2 linked regions of the Astyanax mexicanus genome follow. The protein of the gene in region 2 interacts with the protein of the main gene of each other region in a pairwise test. Links are inferred from orthologs where the notes say so. Each region holds a gene or a part of one and is shown on either strand. Other genes may lie near its edges. The genes, in order: mau2 and nipblb.

Region 1 (8,149 bases), on a different chromosome or scaffold from region 2:
TGGAGAAAAAAATCAAAGCACATTTAATTACAAAGAAAACATTATAAAATTAGACTTACTTCATTTATATAAAAAATATATTTTTCTAGACTGTTTTATAATATGATAATCCATGCCTGGTATATTCTGATCCCACGACTCTGGCATATTCTGCACCTACACCCAACAGGTCACACGCAGACACCAAGTCCTTCTCTAGTGTGTGCAGTTGCTACAAGAAAGTAAAGAAGAAGAAAAACACAGATGCTCAAGATAAAGCCTTGAAATGTTTCACTTGCTGTTAAAACATTGCAAAAAATGATGTAAAGGAATGCATGCCATCACTTACTGCTAGCTGGAATAACAATCTGCAGTGCCAATATGGAGTCTGCTGGGAGATCTGAATGGCTTTGCGTAGTAAAGGCTTAGCAGAATCAACCAAATTCTGTCAAGAAAGGAATAAAATGACATGGAATTTCTCAGATATAGACACCTACTCAATGAACATAAAGGGTATTAACAATGACTTTACCCCCCTTCACTGCAGTAACAAAATATAATGTGAAACTTGCCCAGAAGTGTATATGCTGTAACATCACTGTAAGAATTTGATGAAATTCAGCCACAAGAGAATCAGTAAGATCAGAAGATCTGTTGAATCAGCTGTTATTATTGTTCATCAATATTAACAACAATATTTACAATTCAATAAACTGTGGACTTTTAATGTCCAAAGTTTGGGTCCAGGGACAGTAATCTTAGACTAATGTGCGAGTGATCTAGATCTAGCAGTGGTTCACAACTCTCACTCTGGAGGACCCCATAATCTACAAAATGTAGTGTTTCCATCTCAAACACCACATTTACTGCTCAACATTATGTTAAATGCACATAGATTACAGGTTAAAATAATTTGCAGCAGCAAACAAACAAAACAAAAAAACGATTAAGTACCATCCAATATTGATTCTGTTCTTGAATATGAAATATATCCCCATTTTCCACAACAAATAATGACTTGAGGGAATGATAAGGTGCAACTTCCAAATCAAGAATTTGCATTTACCCAAACACTGATACTGCATGAATACAGAATCAACTCAGAAAGGGCTTGTAAATTAGCTGACAAGTTAGATCAGGTACATTGGGAACAGGACCAGGGTTGTAAATCGCTGTTCTAGAGCATCCTTGTTACGTAAATTTAGAAAAAAGCATACATACACTTCTGCAGACAGTGCAACCGTCCACAATACATTACGCAAAATTACACAAAATACAATTCTTACCTGTTGGCAATAGAGCTCCGAGAGGAGACTGGCAGCCTCAAATTTAACATCTTCAAACTGTGGGACCTGAGAACACTGGTTAAGGTTATATTTTTACTACAGATCTGACATGATTATAATCTCAGACAGCTATTTAACTGAAAGAACTGAAAAAAACACACTGAAGAAAGCCATTACTTGTGAAAACAAAAAGTTCAGCCATAATCTGTACCCTTCCTTTTGAGTTCTGCTTTAGGCAGTGAAACTGGAAGCTAATTGACAGTTTGCACAAGCACACACTGATTATACAGACATTTATACATATAACAAAGCTAGTCATCCAAATAAAGCGATTTTCTCCATTGTAGATGCATTGCAAAAGGATACTTGTTGCGAGATGCACCACTGAAAGAGATAAAGAAAGAATAAAAAAAGATAAATTAGTTATTAGGTACCTAGCTAGCAAGCAAACACAGTTAACTTACATCACCGAAAACAGCTAAGATTTACACACATAAACCATTCAAATAAACAACAGTAGCTAAGTAACTAACATTGAAACAGTTAAGAGTGAAAAATGATACACAAATATGATATTGGGACTAACTTACAGTACATTAGTTAGCTAGGGACTGGCTAATGTAGCATAGCTAGCTAAACTAGCTAGCTATAAGATACACTGAGAATACAGGAGTATTAAGGTTTTTTTTTTATACGTTTAAGACTTTATAATTCCACTCAACAAATAACAAAATAAGAACATGTTTAAAAGCAAGGAACACCAATATTAACTTCACAGACTAGAGTAAGCTAACGTACATCTCTGTATTTCCCCCAGTAAAAATTCAAAAACGACATTTCAAAGACGCATAAATTAGTTAATTGTTTAGCACACACGAGAAAATTAAGTTATGGTCCATTAGACATATGGTATTATGATTAATTGGGGTTATTTATCTTGATTTGTTAGTTAAATCACGTCAGCTTAGGTTAACTTAATTCAGTCTGCCTTTAAGTTACCGACAACTAAATCTGAAAGATGTTAAGCTAAGCTAGCTAGCTTAAGTTAGTATAAAACCTATTTTCTTCACTTTCTGTGTTGTGTAAGACTTTTGGGAAGATGTATTCAAGATATTTCAACATTAATTCAAGCTTAATTTTAAGCTAAAACCGTTTAAAACCTAATTTTCTAAGAATATGAGTAATATAGCTAGTTAGCTAGCCAGCTAAGGATCTGCAGATACCCTGATGTGTATATATAACCTACAAGCTAACTAGCGCTAGCTTTTGAATGGTAGCTAGCTTATGCTAGCTTTAGAGGAACATATAGCTTGTATAGGTACATTTAGGTTTGTTTTACGTGTATACTCTCTAGAAATAAGCTGTAATTATCGTTTACGCCCCAAACAACGTACTTAATGTGTCTATCTTAAAATTCACACAGTCAAAAGTCTAAAAAGCAGCACTTTCTGCACTGAGGCCTACACGCCCGCCTCTCCGCCGCATCCTCGGTGTTTCCTGATCTGCTCTTACCGCTTTTTCCAAATGACTCCGGGCCAAGTCGCTGTTCTTGGTGTGGTGGTACAAGACCGAGCCGAGCTGGAGGTGCGTTCGGGCTTCTACCCTCTGCGAAGGTTTAAACTGAAGCACAGCCTGGAGACAGTGCACACACAGACGTATTTTAGGTGGGCTCGACGTGCGAAAATGTTCCGCGAAGCCGAGCAGGGCGAGGTACCAGGACTCCGGGGCCTCAGCGCCAGTCGCCATTTTGACGACAATAACAACAAAAACAAGCCGCGGCCTGAACGGAGCTCCGCACAGGCGGCGAGAGTTCAGTGGAGTGGACTCAGGGGACGCTAGCTAAGATTTTACCCCCATTTCCAGCCTCTAAACTACTCTAAGAACTTGCTTTCCCCCGCACAGAGTCCTTCAGCTATCTACAATTTATCTGTACTCTCTATTTCGCTTATTTTTTCCCCTTTAAACCTGGTAAAAAAAGGGTAAAAAGCAGCTAAAGTGCTCTTCGCCGTCCCCCCACTCAGACACCCCAGATTCAGAAAGCAGATTCACACTCCTTTAGTGATACAATCCTCTGTTTCTTAGTGTTATTCAATAGAAATGACATTTATTAAGAATTCAGAGAGATTTCATAGTTTTTAGGACATATAGATAAAGATCATTTGTTGGGTCTTCACTACCAATGTAACATGCCTTTTGTGTTTATATAAAGTTCATAATACCAAAAGGACATTGAATTAATTGAAACATTAAAACAACTCTGTTCATCGTTATGGTTTTATTTATATATACTATTTGGTTGTACCGCCTTTAGCTTTGATTGTGGTACGCATTTACTATGGCATTTTTTTAATAAGCTTCTGCAATGTTACAAGACGTATTTAAATCCAGTGTTGCACTAATTTTCATCAAGATCTTGCAGCAGCATTGATGATGGTAGAGTCTGACTGCTGCACAAAGCAGCTCTTCTCCAGCACATCCCAAAGATTCTCAATGAGGTTAAGGTCCGGACTCTGTGGTGGTCAATATGTGTAAAAATTATGCTCATGCTCCCTGAACCATTTCTTTTACAACTCCAGAGCATTTTAAAATATGGCCGTGCCATCAGGCATGAAAAAAATCCATTGATGGAATATCCTGGTTCTTCAATATATTCAGGTAGTCGGCTGACCTCATTCTTTAAGCACATACTGTTGCTGAACCTAGACCTGAACAACTGCAGCAACCCTAGATCATTTGCTTAGTTAAATCCCATCCTTCTGCCTTTCTCTGAGTTATTGATACCGATGGATGATAATCTGGGAATGCCCCCGTACACATTAGGATTGTCATCCACTATCTAACCGCTCTGGTGGTCAACCTGGCATTATATAAATGTGGTTCTACACACAGATAACTATCATTTTCTGAAGTAAGGGATCCAACCAACACCTTGGGGTTGGGTTTGAGTGTTGCATGTGACCTTTGGCTCTTCCCCAAATCAGATCTGCCAGGGTCAGCAGCCAGACACTGACAATGTTGCATATTATCTGTTCTCCATAAATCTAGTCAAAAGTTATTCCATCTTTCTGCCTTTCTCTGACTGCCCAACTGTCTGGCCTCATACCAATGGAAGTCTTTGGAAGTCAGGCTTCCCAGTCACCCACCACAGATCAGCTTCCCACCGCCCAGTATATGCCACCTGCCTCTGATATGTTAACTCTCCACTACCAATTACATTAAAGTTTATATAAATTCTCATTAGAAATTTTCTAACTGTATGTGACTCATGTGGATGTATAATAACTTTTTAACATTAATTTATAAGTTGTCTGACAAGAGGAGGATGGGGCCCTTCTTATATATTAGCTATGCTTCCTCCCAAGGTTTCTTCCTCCTTTAGCTATGAGAGAGTTTTTCTTTGCCTTTATTGCTTACAGTTTCGTCTGATTCTCTGTTGACATCAAGCATCACTAAGCATGAACACTATAAAAGTAAATGATTTGATTTCAATGCAACCAAATCTTCACAGCACTAAAAGTAAAGTCTTTCTCAGTAGCCTATTGGTCTCACATTTGTGAAAGTCTAACAAGACTTAATGGTGACAGCATTAGCAAACATCACACAATGATGTGCGAAATAAAAATGAACTCTGCTTCTGGGGCTTCGTTTTGTACTATTTCTACTATTGTTGTGATGCTGCTTTTCCTTTTCCCTATATGTTTTACATGTGCTGAGAATTGTGGGTAACCATGGGATGTGAAGGATACATCAGTTGCATCCTCAAAATGAAAATATCCTTTTTTAACTGTATATGAAGCATCTTTAATTTGGGGACAGCCTAGTGACTAGGTTTCTATGTGGAGCCTGTTTAGGTGTTGTATGTCAGCAACACCTGTAACATGGTAAAACATAAAACACTGTGTTGGAGAACCATTTAAACCTTTATTTGAGGTCTACAGAACACATTACATTCAGTATATGACAACAAACAAGAGAGAAAACAGCTTTTTCACTGCTATAATGATGAATTCACTGTCAAGATACTGTCAAGACAATCGGCGCAGCTCAAAAGTTCAAGTGAAGTGTCCATTTGGATATTTGGAAAAAATACACAACCAGCTAAGATAACTCTGAATCTGAACTGTATGATTCTATGAAGTTGAAAGTTTTTATTTTTTAAAAAAGGGAACATGTGAAGGTTTGAGCCATTATCCTCTAAAATGTCTTTGAGCATGATCTACTGAAGCAAAAGGAAAAACGGGACATTTTCAAGTTCGGGCAAAGCATTAATACTCTGTAATACCATCACGGTGTGCATTTTAAACTGCACGTCCAAATGTCAAGGATGTCAAATATTAAAATAAAAAAACTACAGCACAATACAACTGCGATCCCTTCAGTAGTACGGCCTCCTTGGATTATTCTGGAGAGGGGAGAAAAAAAGATAATATCAGGACATAATAAAATAAATACTTAATTAAATTACAAAACAATGAGCAAATTAAAGGCAAGATTATTAATTAACGTACTGTTCAATACCTAAATATTGTCACAGTACTGAAGAATGGAAAAAATATTTTCAAAAATGGATTTGCATGATAGCAGCTATATATTATATGCAGATCATTTACATAACATACAAATCCCACTGGAAATTCTTTGTTTTTGTTTATTTTGTCTTTTGGCAAATGTCTGTCCACATAATCTGAGTAGCTAATTATTTCAACTTTTCCAGGATCTTATAAATATTTTCAGGACTTTTAACACTTCCTTTTGAGCAATTGCAAAAAAACTGGAAAAGTACTGTCAATTTTAAGGTTTTCCCATTTTTCTAGAACACTGCATTGTAATGGTTCATAAATAAAATAAATAACATACAAATTCAAATTTCATGATGATTATTTGATCTCTTGGGACAGTGAAAATGCACAAAGCATGTAGATCATGAAATACTACATTATGACTACATTCACCTATGTTCTGTGTTGCTCAATATATAAAGAATAGTGAATTGCAGATTCAGGTCCTGTGTGAATAATTCACACAAGCAAGCCTGTGCTCTTTACTGACCAGGGGATTAGGTCTGAAGCGGTAAGCCAGCATCATTCTCTTGCGGAAGGCGTCATACTCGTCATCATTTTTAGAGAGTTCTGCAGGTCGGTCCACTCCAAACCCTGCGCCGTCTACTGCAGTGGTTCCCCTGAAAAACACAAATGTGTTTAAAGCCATTGTTTTTTTCTGAAGAACCCTAGAAATCACATAAAGTAATATACTTGATAAAGAGCTCAGAGAGAAGCATATTTTACTACAGCAAAGAACATGCAAACACCTGCAGAACACAGGAATCTGAAGTAGAAATTGAAGAAATGATTGCCTATGTATTGGTACTAGATGATGTTTAGCCGAAATATGTGACTGGCTGTTGAACATCAAAGCTGGTCATGTGGGTGTATATGGGTGTTTATCATATTGACAGGTGAGACCAGCAATCAGTATCAGCCCCAGAAACACTGATCTGCCCTTCTCTTATCTGTAGTGTGAGAATTTAAGAAACTTTACTGTTGATTAAAGCTTTTGATAATTTTCACCTGTTAACAGGGTTCTTGATGCCCTGGCTTTCCGAGCCCAGACCTTCTCCTTCCTTCCAGCCCATCTTCATCAGCATCTTAAAACCAATGTTCTCCACTGTCAACTTGAACTCCTTATACTCAGAGTAATCTGGATCTCTGCCCTCCTACAGATCACAAAGACAAAAACAATATCACAGTCAGTTCAGATTCTTTTTGTAAACACCTTCAGACATAGAGCAACAGCACACAGCAGGAGGATCAATGTCTGAGGGGGTACAGCAGCACCATAAATATGATGTATGCAAAATAAAAAGTACTCTGAATACACTCTGGAGTTTAGCAGCAGGCTTTTATCGTTTTGTTAATCTCACCTTTAGAGCCTTAAATGTCTCCATGAACTTTTCCAGCTCGTCAGGTGGCAGAAAGTCACCAATGAAATGCTTCCCTTTCCCCATCTCAGTCAGCTGCTCTGCCCATTCTGCTCAGGATAACAAACAAATATAAAAACATTAGAGATACAATGAAAGTCGCAGGGTGCATATGATGACATTCCAAATAAATATATAATAATAATATTTAAAGTAAATACAGGGTTCATATACATTTTAACCAATAAATTTCCATGATATTTTCATGACTTTGCCTTCAAGGCAAATTTACGATCTTTAAAACATCAGTGCAGACATGGAAAATAAAACCAAAATTAAATCAACTAAAACTATAATTGAAATGGATTATAGTAGGGCTAAAACTAATTGGACACACAATCTTTAATAATAAAATGTGTGTCAGATCCTGAGAGCACCATTGTGTAGGGGTAAATTACTAAATAACTCTGAGCTGATGTATTCGTTAGCTCAAAGTAGCTTTTCTTCATCGATAAACAGAAACTTTGTAGACCAAATTTTCATGACTTTTCCACAAGTTTCTGGGTATTTTTATTTTTTTCAAAACTAATCCAGGCCTGGAAATTGCTATTTTCAAATTCCATGACTTTTCAATTTTTTTTGGGACCGTACGAACCCTGTAAATAGGACCAGGTTTTATTAGTCATGGGTGGTAAATTATGGTATTCTCATTATAATCATAGAATTACTTGCTTTCATTGGTGACTGTATATATGTTAGAATCTAGATATGTGCTATCAGTGTAATTATTCATAATGTATACTACAATATTTGACACTTTGAAATAATGTCATTGCATTTTTTTTTGCTTTCTTTTCAAATATGACTAATGCTTTTGTATGATGTGAGAAGCTGTGTAAATATAACATCTTTATAATTAACAGTTCAGGTAAACACTGACCTCTTGTTTTTTCCATCTCCATCTTCC
Region 2 (7,662 bases):
GGGTAGAACATGGAAACTCCATTCAGAAAAGGGGCTTGAACCCATGACCCAATGACTTTAAAACAAACAGCTAAGCCCCAAGCCACTGTATGTGCAATTGCACAGTTTCAAATATTCGACCATTTTTTTTTTTTTATAAAACTGTATCATTCAGTGTATCAGCAAGTAGGGCTGCATTATATATCATTTTAGGATTGTCACTGCAATTTGAGCATGCACTATAGTCACACCATAGGATAGGTAATGTCACAGACTAATTAAAAATAAACGGAGTGTCTATTTGCACCCGGGTGCAAATAGCACGTGCCACACAGCAAGGCTATTTTCACCCCTTAATTAAAAAAAAGAAAGAAAGAGAACTCAATGCGAGGGAGCGAAAAGGCGCAAATTCACAGATGGGGAAACGGAGACCATAGGAAATGGTAAGCAGAATTTGGTTATTATTTATGTATAAAAGGCCCATCACTCAATTTAACTCTACATTTTAAGATAAATATTTAAGACAGAGTGTGAGAATTATTATCTATCGAACACTGTTGACTGAAAACGAATAAACTAAGCTAGTGTTTTGGTGGATCTCAGTTTAAGTTATTTGATTGAATTAAAGTTTGAGGCAGTTAGGTAACTTGTTTTAAATAAAATACACCATGTGCTTTGCTTCTTGGTATAAAAGAAAAAAAATCTTATTTTTTCTTTATATATCTATACCAGAGGCAGATTAGATCTGCTTATCATTGATTTTGCTTTAATAACATAATAACCAAGCTAAACTGAATTGAATTTGCACCAGGAGTAAAGCAGCATAAAGTTATCCAAAAGCAGTTTTTAAGACTGGTAAAAGAGAACATGCCAAATGAATGAAAACTGTGATTAAAAAAACAGGGTTATTCCACCAAATATTGATTTCGGAACTCTTAAAACTTGAAAGAATATGATCTTGATTTCTTTGCATTATTTGAGGTCTGAAAGCTCTGCGTCTTTTTTGTTATTTCCATTTTTCATTTTCTGCAAATAAATGCTTTAAATGAAAATATTTTTATGTGGAATTTGGGAGAAATGTTGTTCGTAGTTTATAGAATAAAACAACAATGTTCATTTTACTTAAACAAATACCTATAAATAGCAAACTAAGAGAAACTGATTCAGAAAAACAAAATATTGCTGTGCCATTTTATACAATATTGCTAAGTACTACTGGCTCCATAGATTACCTGGATAGTAAACGTGCATAAACGAAAGCCCTAGTCCCATCAATAAGATGGTAACTAAACATTTTATGCTATGGTCTAACAATCCTCACATTTGAGTAATATCATAAGTTAGTCCTTTATAAAAGAAATCAGGTGAATTAGAGAAGGAAACCTTAAAGCTGAACTGTTAGAGTAAGCACTAGAGTTGGGAAACTTTTGAAGAGAGGAATTTAACTTCTTGCCTTTCCCTAAAAAAAGTACTTGACCATAATGATGACTCAGTTCAGAGAAATGTGTGTTCATGCAGAATACAGCAGCAGTGTAGACTGTATCAAAATGTTAAATGCACCGCCCTGTGAGCGGAAAGGATTTTTTTATAAATTTAACCCTTAATTTTACAAGGGTTAACTGATGTAAGAAACAACATTATTCTGGGCAATAGATATGAGATTCTGAGTTTTAGGACTGGAAACATTTGAATTATCCAGCAACAGTAATGTCTTGTGTGTGGGTAGTCATGATAAAACATGGGCAGGTGAGTTTTTTTTATTGTTTTAGCTCATTTATTTAGCTTATTTTATCACTGTTCAAAGAAAAAAATCTTAACTTTAAATGAAAGTCAGTGTAAAATAACAGCTAATTTCAAGTCAGTGGAATTAAAACATCCACAAATGTCAACACATGTTTTTAATGGGTGGCACAGCTATGATAATTTACTTACATAAGCCTTTGTGTGAGTTTTTGACATTCTTAAATGAGAAACACTAAAGTAACCAGTGGGAAGAGGGTGCAGTGGCGGACTTAGCAATTTGGGGGCTCAAGGCGAATTTAGCTAGGGGGCCCATCAACATTAATATGCGAGAAATAAGTTATTTATTTTAAAAAATAGTTAAAAAAAGAACATTGAAGCTTTCAATTCTAATTGTACTTTTTATATGTGCAATCAATAAACATATCTTTAAATAAAATATACATCCGAATGCCAAAAAAAGTAAAGCAGTGTGACTGAGAGCATTTGTGTGAGTCAATCAGTAATTTTTATCTAGAATTGTAACTGACCTTAATGATAAAGAATAATTATCAATCACATCAAAATGTACAGTGAAAATATGAGAGGAGGCAGAGTTTGTGTAAGGGTGTTTGATCAATAAAATACTAAAAAGATTTAAAATGAATAAAAAATAATTAATATAAAATACAAACTCATTTAAAACACAATCAAAATCTATAGATATATATATATAGATATATCTAGTGCGCAGAATAATATCAGTTTCAGTTAGTTTCAGTTTCAAATAATTGAAACAGCTCCCCAAAACCTCAACTTATCCTTTATATTTGAAAATATTTGATTAACTTTACAGGTCCTCACTCATCTCAATTTATTAAACTAAAATGAGTTTTCAAATTATTTCTAGCCTCGCGCTGAAGAGAGAGAGAGAGAGAGAGAGCGCGCTTTTCTTGTGACTGATGCTAAACTGTTTGATCCAGCTGTTATTATATTATATTATATTATATTATATTATATTATATTATGTTATATCAATACCATTTTAACGTTTTTCGTTTCTATGTTTTGAAATTCGTTAGATTATATTTTTGTTAACATTGGGTTTATTTTCGTTTGTTATTTTTCTAAAAATAATAGAATTTACCCTACCTACACAACCCTAGTACGGCACCTCCTAGTCCCCCTCCTCCACCAAAACATTTGGGTTAGGTGGTGCTGACACACTAAAAAAGCTTATCAGTTTTGGAAGAGCATCTGTTTTTAGTTTAGCCTCTTCCTTCTTTTTTCTTTTTGAAGCATGGCTTCTCACAACCCACTTAATTTCACCTTAATTCCGTCTTTCACAAGCAGCGTTCGCGGTTCACCGGCATGGATGGAATATTCTATTTTAACGCGAAAGAGAGGGGGTGTGGACGGAATCTGTATTCCTTTGTAATTAATTGTGTTGTCTTTGTTTCCATTTTAAACATACAAGAATCACCATTTCTGAACGCACTATCTGTGAATTACTGTCCAAAGGGCCCCAATTACCAGCTGTAGGTCTGTGGGAAGTTTGCAGCTAGTCAGGGGGCCCCTACAGTGGGCTGCAGTGGGAGGGGCCCAAGGCAGTTGCCTAGCAATGCCTCTATGCAAAGACCGCCTCTGAGAGGGTGTGTACTAAAGCAGACACAGTTTAGAACATATTAAGGTTTATCTGTGGTCTGTATTTCCCCATTCATGTTTCCCATCTCAAGAAGTAATTTTTAAATTCTATTTATATGACTAAGGTGGGAAAACTTAAAAATGCACATTTCAGGTGGGACTCCAAGACTAAGAGAATGATCAAGACGAAGAGAACTAATTTGATGCCTTAATACAACGTGATGTGCAGCAAAGCTATGCAGTTCATATGAACCTTAGAGCTTAGAACTAGACAGCTACATGAAGAGGATCTTGTGTGTGCATAAGTGCGTTGAAAATGGTTGTGTTATACACTACAGGTAAAGACATGAGGTTTCAGGATTCGAAAACAGTAAACTAGTTATGGATATTTTATTTTTCTTTACAGTCATTTCATAAATTACATTAAGTTATATGAGTGAAATGGCCCATACTGAGCTTATAAATGCACTCAAAATGTATGCAAACGTCCACAAATTCTTCTTTCTATTCCTCCTTATTGAATAGCATTTTGAAATTAAACAATACATCTTAAATGTATTTCACATGTAAAGAAATCTCTCATAATCTGTTAAAAAAAAAATAAGAAAAAACATCCCATTTCTGCATCTTGTATCAAAAGTCTATATAAGATATAATTAAATACAGCTTCTTTTGTTATAACACAAACAAATTGAATAAATACTTTTTATTCAATTTGTTTGTGTTTTCAATTTTCTATTTTTTTATATTCCATTTCATTTACCCTTAACAATTTGAATTTATATATTTTTTTCATTTTCCCTAAAATTCAGATTGTTCATTCAGAAAATTAAAAAAATATGTATGAGTGCCCAAATCTTCTTCATTATAACTACCGAATGGAAAAAATGAAATATTGAAGTTTTGCACCCAATAATTTATTTTCTAATTTAGCCTCAAAGGTCAGAAAATATTATTCATAAACCTCACACTGACCCTGAACTCACTGTCATTATTATCAGTGGGAAATCTACACTACTGTTTCCAGAAGTTATTAGTATGGGTACGGTGTGAGAACAGTATCTGGAGGAAAGTGAGCGGCTGAGGCTGGGCTGCGGGGCTGGCGGCGGGGACGCGGGGAGCGGGCTAGCATTAGCAGGCTGGCGGTGTGGCCTCGGAAGTCAGCGGGTCGCTGCTGGTTGGTTTGGCGCCGGTGGAGGGAGTCATTCCTGCAGCAGCGCTTCCGGTCGGCATTTTGTTCTGCCAGAGAAGGGGGGAGAGTGTCTGAGTGGATCCTTTTATCACCGCGTCAATAGTCTTTCAGGGTTTTCTCTTTTCCTTACCCCCTCCGCCGCACCAAACACCCCCCGAAAATCGCCTTTTCAACACACAACCACCCACGGTCCGCGCTGGCTGGAGCAGGACCGGCGGAAAGGAGCAGCGATCGCGGGGAATGTTTACCTCCCTCCAGCCTTCATGTTTGCAGTGAGAAGGAAGAAGAGCGAACCCTCCCGACCCGGATTATTGTTGTTATATTACTCGGAGGAGCTGTGAACGGAGAGGGGAGCTAGAGACACTCAAACCCGGAGCGGGTTTCGCTACCGTTTCTTTCTTTTTTTTATTTTTCCAAAAAACCAACATCACGTCCAGAGGTAAATAACCACACCCGTTTGCTTCGTTAGATATATCTCCGCTGATGGAGCAGCATTACGGCCGGACGGTGCAGCCGAGCATCGGCCAAACTTGCGTGTTATTCATCGCTGTTAGCTAGCTTGGTTAGCCGTTAGCTAGCTGTTAGCCGTTAGCCGGCGGCTCTAGCTACCTTTCCGCCGGCACACTCGCTGCCTTGCGCGCCGACGTAGGGCAACGGGCCGCGGGTGTGCGACCCCAGGCAAGCCCGCGGCTTCGCTTCAAGGCCGAAGCAGTCATTGAAACGGAATTGGGCAGCGGATCAGTTCTTTTCAGGGAGCTCGCCTTCTGTGTTTTTCAGCAAATGAAGTTTAACCAGCTACATGCGTAGCCAGCCTGCTTGCTTGCATTCGGTGGGAGAAGAAGAAAGGGCCTTAACAGCTAGCTAGCTATGTTGGCTAGCGTTAGCTAGGTTAGCTGTGTGTCTGGCTAACTAGCTAACTAACAAACTAGCTAGCTAGGTTAACTAAGCTATGTGTTAGCTGGCGTTAGCTCTTACTAAACATAGAATTTAACAGCTAGCGTTAGGTTGACTAGGGTTAGTTAAAGGTCTCTCTCGTTTTCTCCCACTCTCTCTTACTGTGTGTATGTGTGAGTCAGTGAGTCTTGGTCAGGCATCACCATTCAGTTAGCTAGCTACATAAATAATGAGCGAGTTAGCTAAAACTAGTTAGCTAGCTAACGCTAGTTTTTCTACTTCCAGCTCACTTGTTCACTTGTTTGACATTTACTAGATAACTAGTTATAATTCCAGTTATTCCAATCACAAATGCGGAGGATTAGTGTGTGTATGTTAGCTTATGGTGAACAAGAAGGAAAAGTGTTGGACGTTAACTAACTCTGTTAGCTAACTAATTATAAGCAACACGCAGCTTTTCAAAAAAATATTTCTTGTCTGTCTGCTAGCTAAACAACAGTGTATTCAGTGTAGTCTATCTGTCTAACGAGCTATATCACTGAATCTGAATCACTGGCGCAGGAGATTGCTTATTTAAGTCAAGAGGCTTTTTATTTTTATTATTATTATTATTATTATTACGGACAGCTAATCTAGCTAGCTAGAGTGTATACAAGGTCGCAGCTAAAGAGTCGAATAAAAAGGCGAATGAATAATTCAGTAACGTTAAGTAATTTTAATTGAACCAACGACATTTGGCTAAAGATAGGACTATCGCATAGCTTCTAACTACCTAACCAAACAAATACTCTTAGCTATTTCAGGGTTTTCTGTACACCAGGCTTCTTCAGATCTAGTCCGGTGAAGAGCCAGTGTCCAGAACTGGCTAAAATTATGTTATTAATTACCATGTGTAGTAAGTAGGTTTGTGTGTAGGTAGGTTACATCAAGCCATGCTGGACACTGGACCTCCAGCACTGAATTTGAAGAACACTGCTTGCTGTGTACACTGAGATTTGTCAGTCAGACTCTCGCATTGTAATTGGAAAAAGCTTCAGAGTTCTCAACACCATGTTGATTGCTACCTAAACAAAACAACACAGGTTAAAGGTGTTTCACTCTTTCTCAGGCTTGTTTTCGCTTGTTATGGAATGTGTTGTAGCTAGTGTTTAATCTTTTTAGAGTTTAGCTAGTTACACATACATATTTTTAAGGTTCAGTCGACTTTCCCCTCTCACAGAATACAGAATTAAGCAGGACCTAGGCACAGTTTCAGTTAGGCTAACACACATTAGCATACATTGAAATGCAAATAACAAATGGGGTTGCTACTAGCTAAATAACTTGCAACGCTAGTTATCAAGTTAGCTGTGTAATTATTAAGCTAGTGAACCAGCTGAATATTGAATATTCATTTTTTCTGTGTTTTTAGGCGTTTTATTTCTGTTACACTATTAGAAGCAAACTAGCTAGCTAGCTTAGCATATTTTGGCCGTTTATAATCCATATCAGCTACACCGGGTGCAGTGCCGTTTGAATGGTTTAATAGCTGTAAATGTAGCTTTTGTGGTTGGCTAATGTTTATACGACATTTCTAGATATAACTAATTAGACTTTACTAGCTACATCAGTTGGCTGAGAGAGTTAATAGCTAAACTATTGCTTGTTAGCTCGCTAGCTATCCCAGCTAGCTAAATGCCTTGCATAACTAAGCCAGCTTGCTAGCTTAGCTGAGGATCAGGAGTCTGACATTGTTGAGGCTAGCTGGCTAACTTGGATTTAGAAGTGCACAGCTCCATATATACAGCCCATTTCTACAGTTTTACACGCTAGTTGGGTTTACTTGCTGTTGGTAGGTAGGTTAGCTAAATATTTTGTGAAAAAATGCTGTTCATGTTGCCTTTTCACTTCACCAGTATTATTAAAAAGCCTGCTTCTTTCTGTGTGTTAGCCTTAGCTTATTTTCTGTTATATGCTGCATAATTGAAGCCATTAGTCGAGGAATTTTTAGTAAATAGGTAAATGTATCTGCATGGTATATTTGAGCACTTTTGAGAATTTGTTTCACCTGTTTTCAATTTCAAATCCTAGACAAGTTAATTAGCTGGCGGTTGTTTCGTGTTTTGAAGTAGCTAACTAGTTAGCATCAGGCTATTGTGGTCAGTAGCTGGGTGTTTAGCTCACCACTAAATGTTTGATAGCTAACCTATGTAATCTAGTTAACTAGTTAGATATTTTTTTACATATTCCTCCTC

Evidence for each region.
Region 1: the proteins of nipblb (region 2) and mau2 interact in binary tests that used the Homo sapiens proteins (3 or more experiments, as listed by UniProt). The link is inferred for Astyanax mexicanus from reciprocal best matches to the Homo sapiens genes NIPBL and MAU2.

Annotation. Positions count from the first base shown.
Region 1 is NC_064411.1:47,985,756-47,993,904, forward strand, and holds the start of mau2 (MAU2 chromatid cohesion factor homolog), read right to left. Parts: upstream 3,274-8,149; 5' UTR 3,012-3,273; coding exon 2,778-3,011; intron 1,650-2,777; coding exon 1,632-1,649; intron 1,332-1,631; coding exon 1,266-1,331; intron 425-1,265; coding exon 329-424; intron 212-328; coding exon 117-211; intron 1-116. Other genes in the region: sugp1 (SURP and G-patch domain-containing protein 1), read right to left, coding at 5,641-5,667, 6,315-6,444, 6,833-6,978, 7,186-7,292, 8,123-8,149. UniProt on the Homo sapiens protein: Plays an important role in the loading of the cohesin complex on to DNA. Forms a heterodimeric complex (also known as cohesin loading complex) with NIPBL/SCC2 which mediates the loading of the cohesin complex onto chromatin.
Region 2 is NC_064427.1:4,596,309-4,603,970, reverse strand, and holds the start of nipblb (nipped-B-like protein B), read left to right. Parts: upstream 1-4,476; 5' UTR 4,477-4,973; intron 4,974-7,662. UniProt on the Homo sapiens protein: Plays an important role in the loading of the cohesin complex on to DNA. Forms a heterodimeric complex (also known as cohesin loading complex) with MAU2/SCC4 which mediates the loading of the cohesin complex onto chromatin.